2 linked regions of the Stegostoma tigrinum genome follow. The protein of the gene in region 1 purifies or fractionates together with the protein of each later gene. This does not show direct contact. Links are inferred from orthologs where the notes say so. Each region holds a gene or a part of one and is shown on either strand. Other genes may lie near its edges.

Region 1 (7,719 bases):
CTAGGGGTCATGAGTTCAAAGTGAGAGGAGGAAAGTTTAAGGGAGATATGCGTGGAAAGTTCTTTACACAGAGGGTGGTGGGCGCCTGGAACGCGTTGCCAGCGGAGGTGGTAGACGCAGACACGATAGTGTCTTTTAAGATATATTTGGACAGGTACATGGATGGGCAGGGAGGAAAGGGATACAGACCGTTAGAAAATAGATGACAGGTTAGACAGAGGATCTTGATCGGCGTAGGCTTGGAGGTCCAAAGGGCCTGTTCCTGTGCTGTAGGTTTCTTTGGTTCTGAGTTAATTATTTCCGTGACTATATGGGCTTGTTTACTTAGTTTGGATTCTTCTACTTATGGCACATTTAGTTCAAAGCAACACTGAGTGAACGCAAGATAACACAGTGTGGAGCTGGAGGAACATAGCAGGCCAGGCAGCATCAGAGGAGCAGGAAAGCAGATGTTCTTGGCCATGAAAGATGTGAGCAGTGCCTGCATACTTTTCTCTGATGCTGCCTGGCCTGCTGTGTTCCTCCAGCTCCACGCTGTGTTATCTCTGACTCCAGGATCAGCAGTTCTTTCTATCTCTGAGAAAACACTAGATGCTTTCAACTGCCTGCAGCAAGGCCAAGACCTGTCTGAGCATGAGGAATTATAATTCCCAAACAATGCTCAAGCGCAATTTGGAAAGTGGGTGATGAAAAAGCCAATGTGAAATGCTGAGTTAATTATGGAGAATTTGTGTTGCTAATAATCTAGTTGTTTAGATTCAACAGGATTCGAGCACAATATCTATTTGGGAAATGGCAGTGGACAATGAAGTAATTTGTGAACAATTGATAGGTATCCTATAGGTCAGCTCTTCAATTGAGGCTTCACAGTAGGCTGTTGCAATAAAAAAATTCAGATGAGATTTTAACCATTTTTAATTAATTTGCTGGAACATAAATCAGGCCTGGGTATTACAGTCAACTGGATATTTTTCTGTTTGAAGAGCAGGACATTAACTCTCTGGCATGGTTGCCCATTGGCAGATAAAATCTGGCTTTCAATGTCTGCTGAATACTCTTCAATGGTACCAGTGGACATTGACAGGAAATTAAAACAAGAAAGAAACAGCCTGCATTGGCATATTGCCTCTCAATGTAGCAACTGGATATCCCAAAGGCTGCACAATCAACACAGCAGTGCTCAACAGTAACATGCCTGAAAAAGGGATCCAAGAACGGAAATAAATTCACCCTTGGACATCAGCTCAAATAAATAAATAAATTGATAAATCAGCTCACTTGCCAGTACCAATGAATTATCCTGATGCCTATCAAGGGTTTGCAAGCCTGTAGTGAATGTACAGAGATAGGGCCAAGATAGGAACAAAGGAAAAGCAGGGATAACGTGGAAAAGTTAAGGCAGTTTGGGGAAAAGTATGAACCAGTAATGACCTGCAGTTGTTTCATGTAATCAGAAGAGGTATGCTGGATACCATAAAATATTGTGAGTTTTATTCTGACTGCCTCCTGTAATCCTGGTTAGGGATATTATTTGGGTGTGACCTATTGTCAAAGTTTTCAAGCACTGCTCATAGAACATAGGACATTACAGCACACATTGATTTAAGGTAAGAGTTTATAGCAGACAGAAGTAAAACTTCTTTAAGCAAATGGTGGTGGCAAGCTGGTTCACACATCTTTTGGTTGCGAGCAATGTAATAATTTGGATACAGCAAATAATAGTTGATGATTATCATAATCGGCCCTCGATGTTGTGCTGACCTGTCATACCCATTTGAAGCCCATAAGCCATATTCGTTAGCAAGTGAACACTCCAGCAGTGACAGAAACTGCTGGAGAAACTCAGCAGGTCTGGCAGCATCCTGAGAGAAAACCATGTTAATGTTTGGAGTCCTATGAGCTTTCTCCAGCAACTTCTGTTTTGTTTTGTTTCAGCTCAATGGGCTCAATGACTTCCTTCTGGATTGTGACAATTATGATTTTCTGATTTTTTTTGGACCAGGGTACAAACTCAAGTGGGACAGTACAGATTATCATCGTGCAACATTCACTGTTTTTCTCCAGGTACTGTCTGACTTCCTGAGCATTTGAAGCAGTCTGTGTGGTTTTTTTTAAAAATTCCAGCTTCTCTGGTCTTCCCACACCATTGAAGTCCTTCTATTTGCTGCCATTCTAGTAAGAATTGAAATCTTCTCTTCATTCTCTCAACTAGAATGGCATGTGGGAAATGTTTTTAATCATCCAGTTCAGGTTTGTTATGGCATACCTCTGGAGCAGGCAGAATTGGGACCCCAGGCTCATGGCTCAGAGCCAGGGACACTACCACTGCGCCACAACAAAAGGTATGTAAGACACTTGCCTTAATGAGTCAAGGCACTAAAAACAAGAGTGAGGAGATAATGATGGAGCTGTATGTAATGTTCGGCCACTGCTGGAGTACTGTGTGCAGGTCTGGTTGCTGCTCTATAGGAAGGATGTGATTGCACTGGACAGGGTGCAGAGGAGATTCACTAGGAGGTTCCCTGGGATGGAGAGATCCAGAGAGACTGGGACAGACAAGCAGCCGGTTTAGAGCAGGGAGGGCTGAGGGGAATCTGACTGAGGTGTACAAAGTTTTAAGGGGCACACACGGGACGGTAAGGAGAAATGTTTTCCCTTAGTCCAGGGATCAGAAACTGGGGGCACAGTTTTTAAGGAAAGGAGCAGGTGGTTTAGAGAAGATTTAAGTAGGAAAATATTTTCATCTACGGTGGTGGGAATCTGGAACTGACTGATGGTTGATGCAGAAACCCTCAAGATTTTTTTGCCCAAATGTACCTTATTCATTTTAAAAATCATCTGTAGGTACATACAAAGTTTTTAAATCAGCTGTGTACAGTCTTTACAGAGAAAAAGCAAAACATCAGAATTTTGACATTTCTCACAGCCTTCCTATAGTTACAAAATCAAAAGTATTTGCAAATCATGCAGAAAACTATTAGCATGTATTTTGAGGCAATGAGAGGGTGTAAAAACATTTTGAGATGAATAACACACACACAGACTAAAGGATTACAGGCCTGGTGCTGGAGAATGAGATGTCAACCACAGCAGACCCAGTCACTGTGACACCCTCCCTAAAACCAAGTGGAGTATTAACCGGCACCTCACTAAAGAATTCCGTTTGGTTTACTTCTCCTTTCCTGAGGAACCAGATGATCCAAATGATAATTACATCTCCCAATGTCTGACAGGCAAGGCATTGCACGCCTGACATCACATCTGAGAAGGGTGGCAGCATGAGTCCTCTGAGGATGTCCTATAAACCAGGAGCCAGCACTGAGTGCACCCAGCCATGGATCCTAGCTGGGAGACCAAGATAACAAGGTGTAGAGCTGGATGAACACAGCAGGTCAAGCAGCATCTTAGGAGCAGGAAAGCTGATGCTTCCGGCCAAGAACCTTCATCAGAAAAGGGGAAGGGAGAGAGGGTTCTGAAATAAATAGGGAGAGAGGGGGAGGCGGATCGAAGATGGATAGAGGAGAAGATAGGTGGAGAGGAGACAAAGAGGCGGGGATGGAGCCAGTAACGGTGAGTGTAGGTGGAGAGTTAGGGAGGGAATAGGAAACGTCAGCTTTTGTGCTCCTAAGATGCTGCTTGGCCTGCTGTGTTCATCCAGCTCTACACTTTGTTATCAGAGATAATGGGAACTGCAGATGCTGGAGATTCCAAGATAATAAAATGTGAGGCTGGATGAACACAGCAGGCCAAGCAGCATCTCAGGAGCACTTTGTTATCTCGGATTCACCAGCATCTGCAGCTCCCATTACCTTTCGCTGGGAGACCATCGGGCAGGACCTCCAAGGCAGGTGGCAGCACTGAGACTAGCCTCGGATTGAGGGGGAGCCGAACAGTACTTGGCGTTGATTGGTCGTTGGGCCGGCCGCCGTCGAATGGACCTGGCTGCCATTGGTCGGACCTGAGGCGAAGGTGGCGAATGAACAATGCTGTTGCTAGCCACGTGTCCCAAGGGGGGGGGGGAACAATTCGAAGCGACTGGAAGGGGGGTTGCGCTCCAGAGGAGTGCCCGAGCCCGGGGGTAGGATCGCCGCCGCCTGAGGATTCCCGGAGGTCGGAGAGAGGAACTGCCGCAGGATTCCAGTCACTGGGTCATTCTCCTCCCTCAGGGGCTCCGTTCAAATTAAACAACCGATTTGTTTTCCTTCAAGTGGGAGGCGCTGAGGGGGCGGGTGTGGGTTCAGGGGGAAAGATACAGGCCCCGGGGGAACCATCGTCCCTTAGACAACCCTTCACCCCCCACACAGGGTCAAAACAACCCCCACACCCCGTCAGACAATCCCTCCCCCCACAGGGTCAAAACAACCCCCACACCCCGTCAGACAATCCCTCCCCCCCCCACATAGGGTCAAAACAACCCCCACACCCCGTCAGACAATCCCTCCCCCCACAGGGTCAAAACAACCCCCACACCCCGTCAGACAATCCCTCCCCCCACAGGGTCAAAACAACCCCCACACCCCGTCAGACAATCCCTCCCCCCCCCCACATAGGGTCAAAACAACCCCCACACCCCGTCAGACAATCCCTCTCTTCCCCCCCACAGGATCAAAACAACCCCCACACCCCGTCAGACAATCCCTTCCCCCCCCCCCACAGGGTCAAAACACCTCTTCTCCCTCCCCCCCCCCCCGAGACAACCCCCTTCACCCACACAGGCACAAAGCAACCCATAAACCCCTTTCCCACAGGGACAAACCCCCCCCGTGAGAAAACTACTCCCCTCCCCTACAGGAACAAACCCCCCCTACCCGAGACAATTCCTTCCACATCCCCTCAACAGTCACCCACCCCACCCACTTCCTGAGTCAAAACCCCCACCCTGTGAGACAACTTGTCTGTTCCCCCATCGGGACAAAACCCTCCCCCAACAGGGACACCCCCCACCACCCCGAGACAATCCCTTCCCCCCCACCCCCATAGGGATAAAACTCCCTTCCCCCACAGGGACAAGAAACAGAGACAAAACCCTCCACCCCGAGGGGAACAGCCCCCATCACCGTATGAAGACCACCCCTCCCAGATACAGCGATCACCTTTCACTTCCTGAACCGAACCAAACCCACACACCTTCTCTCCCCCCCCCCCGAGAAATCGCTCCCTTCGCCCTCCCCGAGGCAGCTCTCCGCCCACTCTCCCATTGGAAATCAGTGCCTCCGCCCACACTCGGAGACAACACTCGCTGTCTCGCACTTCCTGAGACTCCAGTTCCCCCTCAGCACACCACCCTGTGAGCCCTCGCTGTCACTCCCTGTGAAAACACACACTCCACTCCCTGAGATCTAGGGCTCAGACCTTCCAGCAACATGGCAACAGAGGCAGAGAGCAAATTCAGAAACTCTGCAGCAGGTACTGAGACACAGGAGGTCTGGATGTTCATTGCAATGGCTTTTTGAACGCAGAGATTCTATTTAAAATGATTTTTTAATAACAAGTAGTATTGTGATCACGATGTGCAAGGCGAATATCTATTTTGGGACTGAAATTCTTAATTTTCGTGTGCTTTAACCCTCATTGCACCTCTTCGAATAAGTTTTTTGTTTTGTTTTCAAATGCCGCGTGTGTTGCCATATTTCTTCCAGAAGTACTTCCACTTTAAAAGTTCCAGGGAAGCATCTTGCATGGCCACGTGCTGTGATGGAGTGTTACTGTTCTTTAGTGTGTTTCCTAGTCAGTGTGTATTTGGTGGTTTTGAGAATTGAATTTCTTCAGTCACTGTTTTGTTTCGGAAGGTATTGATGTTCTTAACCCTTTAATCGCCGCGATGATGCACACGTTTACTTAAGTGTTAATCTAGGATTTTAAGATTTAACGAGTTGGTAATTTCTCTCATCACTCCTCCCCCCTTCCAAAACAAAACAAAAATTGGCCTTTTTTTTCAAGAATTAAAATGAACTTTGTGCACCACAGGGGATCTTGCATTATATATCAAAGTTGTTTGTGGCATTTGTGGGAGGAAAGCAACCTTGTATTGAAGAACTTTGCAGTTTAAAGTAAAAGTCTGCTGTATCTGTTATGTAATACAGGTTGCAGTAATTGCCGTGATGGCTGTTATGCTTTTGGTTGAAGGCGTTAGTTCTCCAGAATATTGTATTTTGTCTTTGAATAATATCACGCGACCTTTTTATCGTAAACTGGAGGAGGTAAATTGGTCTCCCCTCTAACCATACAGTGCTACTTCAATAATGCGTGGTAATATTGGCCCAATTCCTGAATGTAGACTGGAATTTGCAACTATCTGAACCAAGTTGTTTGTTGTAATTGAGATTCTTTTATGTTAATAACATTTTATTTTAATATATTGTGATAATGTTGTGATTGGGTGAAACAGATCGTATGATGTATTCATGACATGTATAGCTCTTGTTTCCCAGCAGGTGTAGCAACTCATGTCTGTCACTGCTGGACAAATAATAGGACTGATGGGTTGAGGGATTGATCTTCTAACCATTTTAAAATGAAGGACAGGCATGGCTCTTAAAGCTAATTTAGTTTTGTATTCTGTGACAGAGGGTCATGTCTCTTGTCAGTCTTTTGCACTTCATCATGTGCTCCCTGTCTGCTTGCCTGGCATCGAGCCCAGTTAAACACTGGAAATTTCAAGACTGTAATCTTCCATTTTCACTGCTTCCCAACTTCATGTATTTTAGTACCTCCACACCTGATTGTACCAATGCTTTGCACCAAGTTCCATTCATTTGTTTCATTTCCTAACATTTATATATTGTTCTGTAGTCCTAAGACCTCTGAAAAAATCTCACTGATTAACTCCCTGTGTGATGCTGTACCCATTACCTCTATTGTTTATTCTATCTTTACAGCCCTTCACTAACATTGTATTCTTCTTGAACGTGCCTTCATGGCTGAGCCTTTGGCTTTTTAGACCCTAAATTCTGGATTTTCCTTTCTAAGCCTTTTTTGTTTCTGCCTTCGCCATCTTCTCGTGCACTCCTTAAATCTTATCGGTTTGACCAAGCTTTTTGTTCCTCACCTAATATTGACTTTTCTCTTTTTATCCATTCATTGGAAGTGAACCTCACTGGCTATGCCAGCATCTGTTGCCCATCCCTGATTTCCCTTGGTGGTAGTGATGAGCTGCATTGTCAAGTCGCTGTAGTACATGATGTTCCGGTACACGCAGTGCTGTTAGAGAAGGAAATTCCAGGATTTTACCCGAATGAATGCTGATGAATTTCCAACTCTCAATGGCCTGAGGCTCAAAGGGGGACCTGCAGCTGATGATCAAAGGTGCTCCTATGTATTTTTTTGTCCTTGACCTCTATTACCTAGAAAGATGCAGATTTGGAAGGAGCTATCACAGGAACCTGGGTGAGTTGTTTCAGTGCGTCCTGTAGATGATCCACACTATTGCCACTGTGTTACAGGTAGTGGGAGTGAATCTTTGTGGTGGTTTTTGTTAATTGCTGTCTGAACCGGCTTCTGCACAACACCATATTTTGTCAAGAGATAAGAGTGTGGAGCTGGATGAACACAGCAGGCCAAGCAGCATCTTAGGAACACAAATGCTGATGTTTTGGGCCTAGACTCTTCTTCAGAAAAGGGGGAGAGAGAGAGGGGGAGGCAGATAAAAGATGGATAGAGGAGAAGATAGGTGGAGATGAGACAGAAGTTAGAGGCGGGGATGGAGTCAGTAGAGGTGAG
Region 2 (7,805 bases), on another chromosome or scaffold:
GTGCTCCTGAGATGCTGCTTGGCCTGCTGTGTTCATCCAGCTCCACACTTGGTTAGCTTACAATTCAATTTGCTCTCTGAGTATTTTGGGATACGTACTGATAGTTTGGAAATCAGGACAAACAGTACTTCGTAGCATGCTGGTACTTGTAAAGTTCCCTTGACATCAAAACATTTCAAAACCCCTGACATTGCGAGTAACTATCAGGAAGCTATTTCATTGTGAATAGCATCAAAATTTAGCATAATATTGGTGTATCACCATATGTACTTTAGGGTTGGTCATTGGAAAGGGAAAAGGTACCCTATGTTGGGGTGCCAGCTGCAGCTAATTGTGAATACTTTTACACAACCTGTTCAGAGATGTTCTTATGTACCACTGTAGCAAGTGGGCACTTGAAACAAAGCCTCTTGGTTCAGGGGCAGGATACTACCACTGCACCACAACAGCCCCTGCCGTCAGTGTGTAAAGCCCTCTATCATTGTGACCTGTTGAAATGATATAATTCAGCAGAGAGTGGCCATTGCATTTTAGTCTTTCTTTTCCTGTAAGTTTGAGATACTTGTTTATTATATTTGCTTAGTCCCTGAGGATTCTGAATATGTTGAAAGAGGAATGTTGAAAAAATGCTTGCTGACAGAAATATCAATCAAAATAAACTTCTTTTTCCCTCTGTCACCATATTACAGTAGAAAAGTGAAAGACTGAATTGTTTTGGGTTAAAAATGCATTCTACACAGTTAATACAATTTTATGTTATTAAAATCATTTCTGTAGAAGCATAGCCAAAATATCAAAACTAAAATGTGCCATGACTGGCTTTTTAAATGACAATTTGTCTGCATAATTATGAAATAGATCTGAACCCACTTTTGACAGTGAACCCAAAAACAACAAAATCAATTTGGGCTGAGGAGTAGCAAATTGAGTTTAATTTGGAAAAATTTGAGGTATTGCACTTTGGAAAAACAAATAAGGGCAGGACTTATACAATTAAAAGTCGGGGCTTGGATTGTGTTGTAGAACAATGAGAACCAGGGCTTCAGGCACCTTGGTTCTCTGAAGTTTGTGTCACATGTGGACAGGCTGGTTAAGAAGATGTTTAGCATGCTTGCCTTTATTACTCAGAAGTTTGAGTATAGGGGTTGGGATGTCACATTGAGGTTGTACAGAACATTGGTGGAGCCTCTTTTGGAGTACTGTGTCCAGTACTGTTGCCCTATTATCGGGAAGATATTATTAAGCTGGAGATGGTTCAGAAAATATCTACCAGGATGTTACCAAGAATGGAGGGTAAGAGTTATGAGGAGAGGCTGGGACATCTTTCATTCGAGTGTAGGAAGCGAGGTATACTGAGTCTAGCACTGGAACGGTGAGTCCTGGAGTGGAGGTGAGGCCTTTGGGAAATGGAAGCAAGATCTCGAGGTTTGAAGCTCAGCGTGATCTGGAGACTTCGCCTGGGCAGGCTGAAGGTTGGGTGCTTGGTGGAAAGACTACAATTTGAGTACTTTATAAACGAAAACATTCTTATTCTTGTGCTGCACTTTTATATATGATTCTTTCATGTCTTTAACGCGTACTTAAGAATTCTGTCCCTAGGTACTCTGTACCTAAAATGGCACCAAAAGAGTTGACATTACAAACTTTTCACTTCATTCATCTGAGTGCACATGACAATAAAGGCTGACTCAATTCAATTCACCTTACAGAGGTTTATAAAATCAAGAAGGGTATATAGATAAGGTGAAGGCAGGTGTCTTTTCCCAAGGGTTGTATATTTCAATACTGGGGAACATATTTTTAAGGTGAGAGGAAAACAATTTTAAAAAAGACATGAGGGGCCACTTTTTCACACAGAGAGTGGTTCATGTGTGGAATGAACTTCCACAGGAACTAATGAATGCGGGTACAGTTAGTGTTTAAAATACAATTGGATAAGTAAGTGAACAACAAATATTTGGAAGGATATGGGCCAAGCACGGGCAGGTAGGTATAGTTTATTTGGGATTTGGGTTGGCATGGAATGTTTGGACTGAAGAGTCTCTTTCCATGGTGTATGACTGCATGACTTTATGGTCTTTTAGATCCTAAATGTCCCAAGCATTTCACAGGAGCATCATAACACTTGGTAAATCAGTCCTCTGTGGAGGTAGTTATTTCATTTCACGACATGCTGATAAAGCTTCTACTTAACAGAGACTCACACCTTGTATGAAATCTCAAGTGTTTTATAGCCAATGAAATTTTAAGTGTCACCAATGTTGTAATGTAGCAAATACAGCATTTAAGATACAACAAGATTCAAATATCAAAATTATAATGACCAGTTAAACTGCTTTTAGAAATGATGTTAGTTGAGGAAAGAACGTTGGCTGAGAATGGGGAAATCTCACATGATCTTTCTTCAAATAATAGCACGAAATCTGTACCATCCACCAGAGAGTTGAGTTGAGGCTTAAGTTTAACACCTCAACTTGAAGGTGGCACGTCCAACAATTAAAAATGCCTCACTGCTTCACTAGAGAACAGATCTAAGTTTTGTGCTGTAGGTTTTGGAGTAAGACCTGAACTCAGAGCCTTCACGTGGAAGTACCACCAACTGAGGCTCAATTGACATTTAAGTGAATCTTATTTTATTGTAATGACATCAGAATGACAAGTTACATCACAAAGCTGCCGGAATTGCTTTTTCTGTCCTACAAAATTATCCAAATTCATCTTTTTAGTTGAAAAAGTCTTGCAATTTTATAAAGTAGAACATACCCTAGGGGCTGCAGTATGGTATGATAAATACACTTGTTCACAAGTCTGATCACAACCCACTCATAAATATTATTCCATACACCTCACTCGTGAAGATATTCATCATGACACAGATGGATGTATCATATGATCCTTTTATATTTCTTTGCAGAAAATTACAGTACTCAGAATGTAGGAATTGGGATATGTTGATACAGGCTGCACCAAAATGTATTTAATAATGTTCATTCCTTCTTACTTAAAACATACCTGAGCATATTACATAAATAACAATTGTTTATAATTATTAACTTTTTAAAATTTAAACTATGAAGGCAGTTGAGTGACTTTATGATGTCATGAGAAAGCTGCTGACATCAGATTGGTACATTGTGACATAATTAAAAATATTTTCACTTTGGATAAGGAAACTTGTAAATAATGTAAATATGTAAATACTCCCCATTTGTTTAATGAGACTAAATTCTTGTTAAGAACAAGCAATTCCTCTTATCAGAAAGACCTTTTCAGTTCCAATGTACAGACTGTGATGGAAAAGAGTGAGAATACCTAGTTACTAACTAATCTATATATGTGTTGTAGCTTTTAACACATTATTCTGATGTACTCTGAAGATTTCTCCAGTGTCATTTAGGAGCAGTACAACCTGATATATCATTTTTGGGTTTAATCAATTACAGTGCAAGGGTGAATTCTGCGAACAATTCCTGATACAAATAAGTCTTTCTTGCCATGCTGAACTTGCTCTATGCAGAAATTGACTTCTGCACACTGTGAATAAAGACAGTAGCTACTCAGTATAATGCCCTGATATAATACATTGATTATGATCCCTTCACTAAGAGACTGAATATAACCATGTTATAATGTCTTTATAACTTGCTCTTTGCTTGTTTGATACCATTGAATGGCTCATAGTGGCTATATTGTATCATGGATAAGAGATAATGGGAACTGCAGATGCTGGTGATGGGTATAGGCCCGAAACGTCAGCTTTTGTGCTCCTGAGATGCTGCTTGGCCTGCTGTGTTCATCCAGCTTCATACTTTGTTATATTGTATCATGCATGCTTTGCTACAAAGGTTGCTGAGTTGCATATGGAACAGTGTTGGGAAATATTATTGATGCATTTTGCAAGATAATTGTAAGGCACTCTGTGTGGGGTGGGGCCTGTCATGCACCCTTACCTTCATGTACTGTTTTACACAAGTGTATGTGAACTTGGAAATTCTCATAACATGTTCTCAACTTAGTCTTTCATTTGGATCAGGACAGGTTGGGACTATTTCCTACCCATGGAGAAAAAGGGAAACAAATTGTGTAAGATATCTCCTCTGACTCTGTAATAATTTGACTTCCCACTCTGTCAGCCCACAAGCTATAGAGATTGTTTAAATTATTTTTTTTAAACAGAATTTGTATTAGCTCTGGTGAATTGTTAACTAGATTGAAAAACGCTGTCTGACCAGCTGTGATCTCCAGCAGATTTTTTTTGCATTAGCAGTTATATTTTCATATCATGCCCTTTAGATGTTTCTGAAATTTATGTTAATACTTGTCTATATCAGATTATTTGATATCACTTTGTTCGAGTCTGTGGGCTCAGAGATTCTACAATGAGCAAATTTCTACATGGCATTAGGGTGCTCAACTGAGTTTCCCTGACCTGTCTACTGGATTGTATGCGAGTTGGCTCTTCATGTTGCTTTACATAAACGTAAACTTTTACATAACGCAACTACTGTTTGTTTTTTTTCTTGTGGGGAGTGGTGTGCCGTCAGTATCTACACCTCCAAGTAATTCATTGAATATGAAGTACAGTTCCGGACATTTCTCGAAGAAATAGGATAATTTGCTCGCCACAAAACTGTTAAATTTCGGGGAGGGGCGGGGTTTGGGGGCAGGCAAGGAAACACCAGCCGGGTGGTGCGTGCATGCTTTGGAACTGTGGAAGAGAATGTGTTATTGCAACAATATTAAACCTAAGTGCTTGTGATTTAGGAGTGAATCGCGGCTGCCCTCTCCCTGGCGGTGTCACGTGTCCTTTCCGGAACCCTAGAGGCGGAAATCTCCGAAAGTAGCCGATCGTCCGGCTGTGCGGACTGAGGACGAAGGTACGCCATTACTGGGCCGCTTTTTATTATCCGTCTCCATCCTCGGCATGGAGACTGCAAGCAGTCACTGCTGACTGGCCCGGTGGCTGTCCTGCCTTCTGTGCTTCGGCCTGATTGTTTTATTTTTCTGATTCACAGGACAGAAGAAGGGAGGAAAGAAAAAAAACACTTACACCTTGAGGAGGAGCCCAGTCCTTCCCGGGTAAGGGGTGGCCTGACGTGTTTCTGCTGACACCCAGGGCTGGGGCTGCAGGAAAGGGGAGGGAAGGTGAAGGAACGGCTATATAGAGAGAGAGAGGGAGAGAAACCCCTCTCTCTAACTGGGGGGGCAGGCAACAGCGGCCTCAGCATATTCCTCCCCATCATCTCCACCTCCCGATTCCTGGGAATATCGAGTCGCTTTCAAGCCCGCGGCCGGCGCCACTCGGTTGGGGTTGGGGTTGGGGTTGGGGTGAAGGCCATAGCCTTTTAGCCCCACCACTCCCTAAAGCCCGGGTTGAGTGGCAGCCAGGCCCCAGTCTCTCTCCTCTCCCTCCCCCCCCATACTGGTTTTCCCCGGCTTCTGGAAAAAGACGGGGAGAGAGCAGGCCGTCCAGCCTGAGCCACCCCTCTCTCCCTCTGCAGCCAAGGGAGAGGAGGCCCCAGCCTACAAGAGTCTCATGTCATTTTGAAGTTTTTAGTGGGAGAGGTGAGGGACTGGCTAAAACCAAAGTCTGGGTTTTAACTTCTGTTTCTCGGTTGTGCTTGCTTTTGGTAGTAAGGCCCTTGACCATATGGAAGCTACGTCGCTGCCCTGGGGTGGAATGTAACCCCCGCCCCAGGCTCAGAGTGTCGTGGGTGGGGGGTGGGGGAGTTGGGGAAGACACCGGCCGGGCTTTGACTCTAGCTGTATATTGTATATATTAGTATTTGCATTAATATTTCTGCCGCGCGTGTGTAGGGTGTTAGCGCGTTTGTAGCCTGAGTCTGAAATGACACGTTTGTGCTGGAGGGGGAGGAGGGAAAAAGCCGGTAAAAGAGGAACCATGTGCGGCTGTTGGTTGGTCTCCGAGGCATAGCGCAAGCGAGTGAGTCACTGTCACCTCCCCACACGGTTGAGTGCTGCCGGCTCTTACTGCACAAACATCATCGCACTCCGCTGTTGCAAACTCTTCCTTAATCTTTAACTATATATAGATATTCACTCAACACTGAGGAAAGATCGCCATGTGACCATTTAAAAAAAAAGTGAGGGCTCGGATTTTTTCAAAAACGGAAGTGCATTGAAGTTTTAACCATCTTTGGGAATTACGTTTAATAAGTAGTAGCAACTTTGAAGGATGGCGTAATGGGAAAGTGTTGGAACAGATTTATTTAATTTTAAAGCTACTAACATGAAGGATACGAATAGCAAGTTTTAGAAAGTGCTGAGTCAATTCCTGTTTATAGCCCCCGATGTCTGCTTTCAGTTTGAAGACCCGATCCTTATGTTTTCGAGGAAAAGGATTGCTTTTTGGGGGTGGGGCAAGTGTGGGTAGATAGAGATAATGCATTGCAACGTTCAATTATCATTCGAGATTAAACTTACTTTTGAAACACATAGTAAGAAAGTTTATTGACTGAAATGCCCGATTGCTGCTAGCGAAACGTGTAAAAATCATTGAGCGTTTAGTTGTATTTATGAAATTGTGTTGTGAATTAATACCCAAGTTTCTCACTAAATGGTGAGGGCAAGTACTTTAGATATTTGAAATCTGCCCTTCACCACTGTAAATACTAATAATTTCTCATCTGATTTGACCCTGCCACTGAAAAAGTCTGTGTTAATTCAAGTACAAAAACACTTAGTTATCAAGTTATAAGGGGGCATATCATCAATACGATATGGGTTTTGGATTGACTGTAAGTTTGAAATGAATGCTGTGACATTTGATTTGATGTGGATGTTATGCAAAATATGGAGATGTAAAGCAGTTTGCATACATGAAAAATTAAATGATTTGAGAATGTGTGGCAAATATCAATGCATATACAAAGATCACAATAGTCACATTTCATATGACATTTTCACATGGACTCTGCTGCTCCCTGGCAGTGGGTGTGGTTTTGGTGTTCATTACAGTTTGTGCGTTTTCTCTCTGCACTGCAGTAACAGGCTGTAAGGTTTAATAATCGTCTCGTAGTGTATACATGAGAGAACGTTGTGTGTCTGGTAGAAGAAATGAGACTTCTTAATACTGATATCACAGTGTTGCCTCAGGTGTCTTCTGTTTTTTATCAGTTGTGTGCAGTCTGAGATTTTTGGAAGTGGCAATAGCCATTGGAATTGAGTCTAAATTAAAATGCACTTGACACTTGCATTTATTATGGCCTTCTATTTTGGTAAAGAACTTGCCTGAATTGATCTGTTGTCTAATTTTGTTTGGAATTAGTGTCAAATATTCACCACTGAAATAATCCAAATATATAGGTCTCCTGCATCATACCAAAGAACTTCATGCCAGGTTTCAAGTAGGCAAATTTAGATAACTCAAAATAATGCGCTACATATTTGAACAGTAGAAATAAAAGTGAGTTTAAACATTACAGCTGTTAGCAGTTCTGTTCGTCTAGTAATATATCTATCTTTTTTCCAAAAAGTGAAACAAGTTTGAAATGAGCTACCTGGTAAACAACTTGACTTACAGCAGGTCAGGCTGCATCCATGGAGAGAAAGCAGGCTAACATTTTGAGTTTCGATGACTCTTCATCAGCTCTGATGAAGAGTCAGCTAGACTTGAAATGTTAGCTTGCCTTCTGTCCATGGATGCTGCCTGACCTGCCGAGATCGCCAGCATTTTTTTGTTTTTGTTCAGATTCCATCATCTGCAGTAATTTGCTCTTAAACAACTTGATTAGTTGGTTAGCTTTACAGCGTTTTAATTGAAGTCTACATAATCACCTGTAGCT

What was found. Proteins that work in one complex are often made in the same cells at the same time.
Region 2: the proteins of pdcd4b (region 1) and eif4g1a purify together in Homo sapiens (affinity purification with western blotting; 3 studies listed by BioGRID and IntAct, with this or other methods). This does not show direct contact. The link is inferred for Stegostoma tigrinum from reciprocal best matches to the Homo sapiens genes PDCD4 and EIF4G1.

What each region holds. Positions count from the first base shown.
Region 1 is NC_081373.1:2,184,857-2,192,575, reverse strand, and holds the start of pdcd4b (programmed cell death protein 4b), read left to right. Parts: upstream 1-4,717; 5' UTR 4,718-5,363; coding exon 5,364-5,406; intron 5,407-7,719. UniProt on the Homo sapiens protein: Inhibits translation initiation and cap-dependent translation. May excert its function by hindering the interaction between EIF4A1 and EIF4G. Inhibits the helicase activity of EIF4A. Modulates the activation of JUN kinase.
Region 2 is NC_081367.1:44,939,519-44,947,323, reverse strand, and holds the start of eif4g1a (eukaryotic translation initiation factor 4 gamma 1a), read left to right. Parts: upstream 1-4,794; 5' UTR 4,795-4,877; intron 4,878-5,015; 5' UTR 5,016-5,079; intron 5,080-7,805.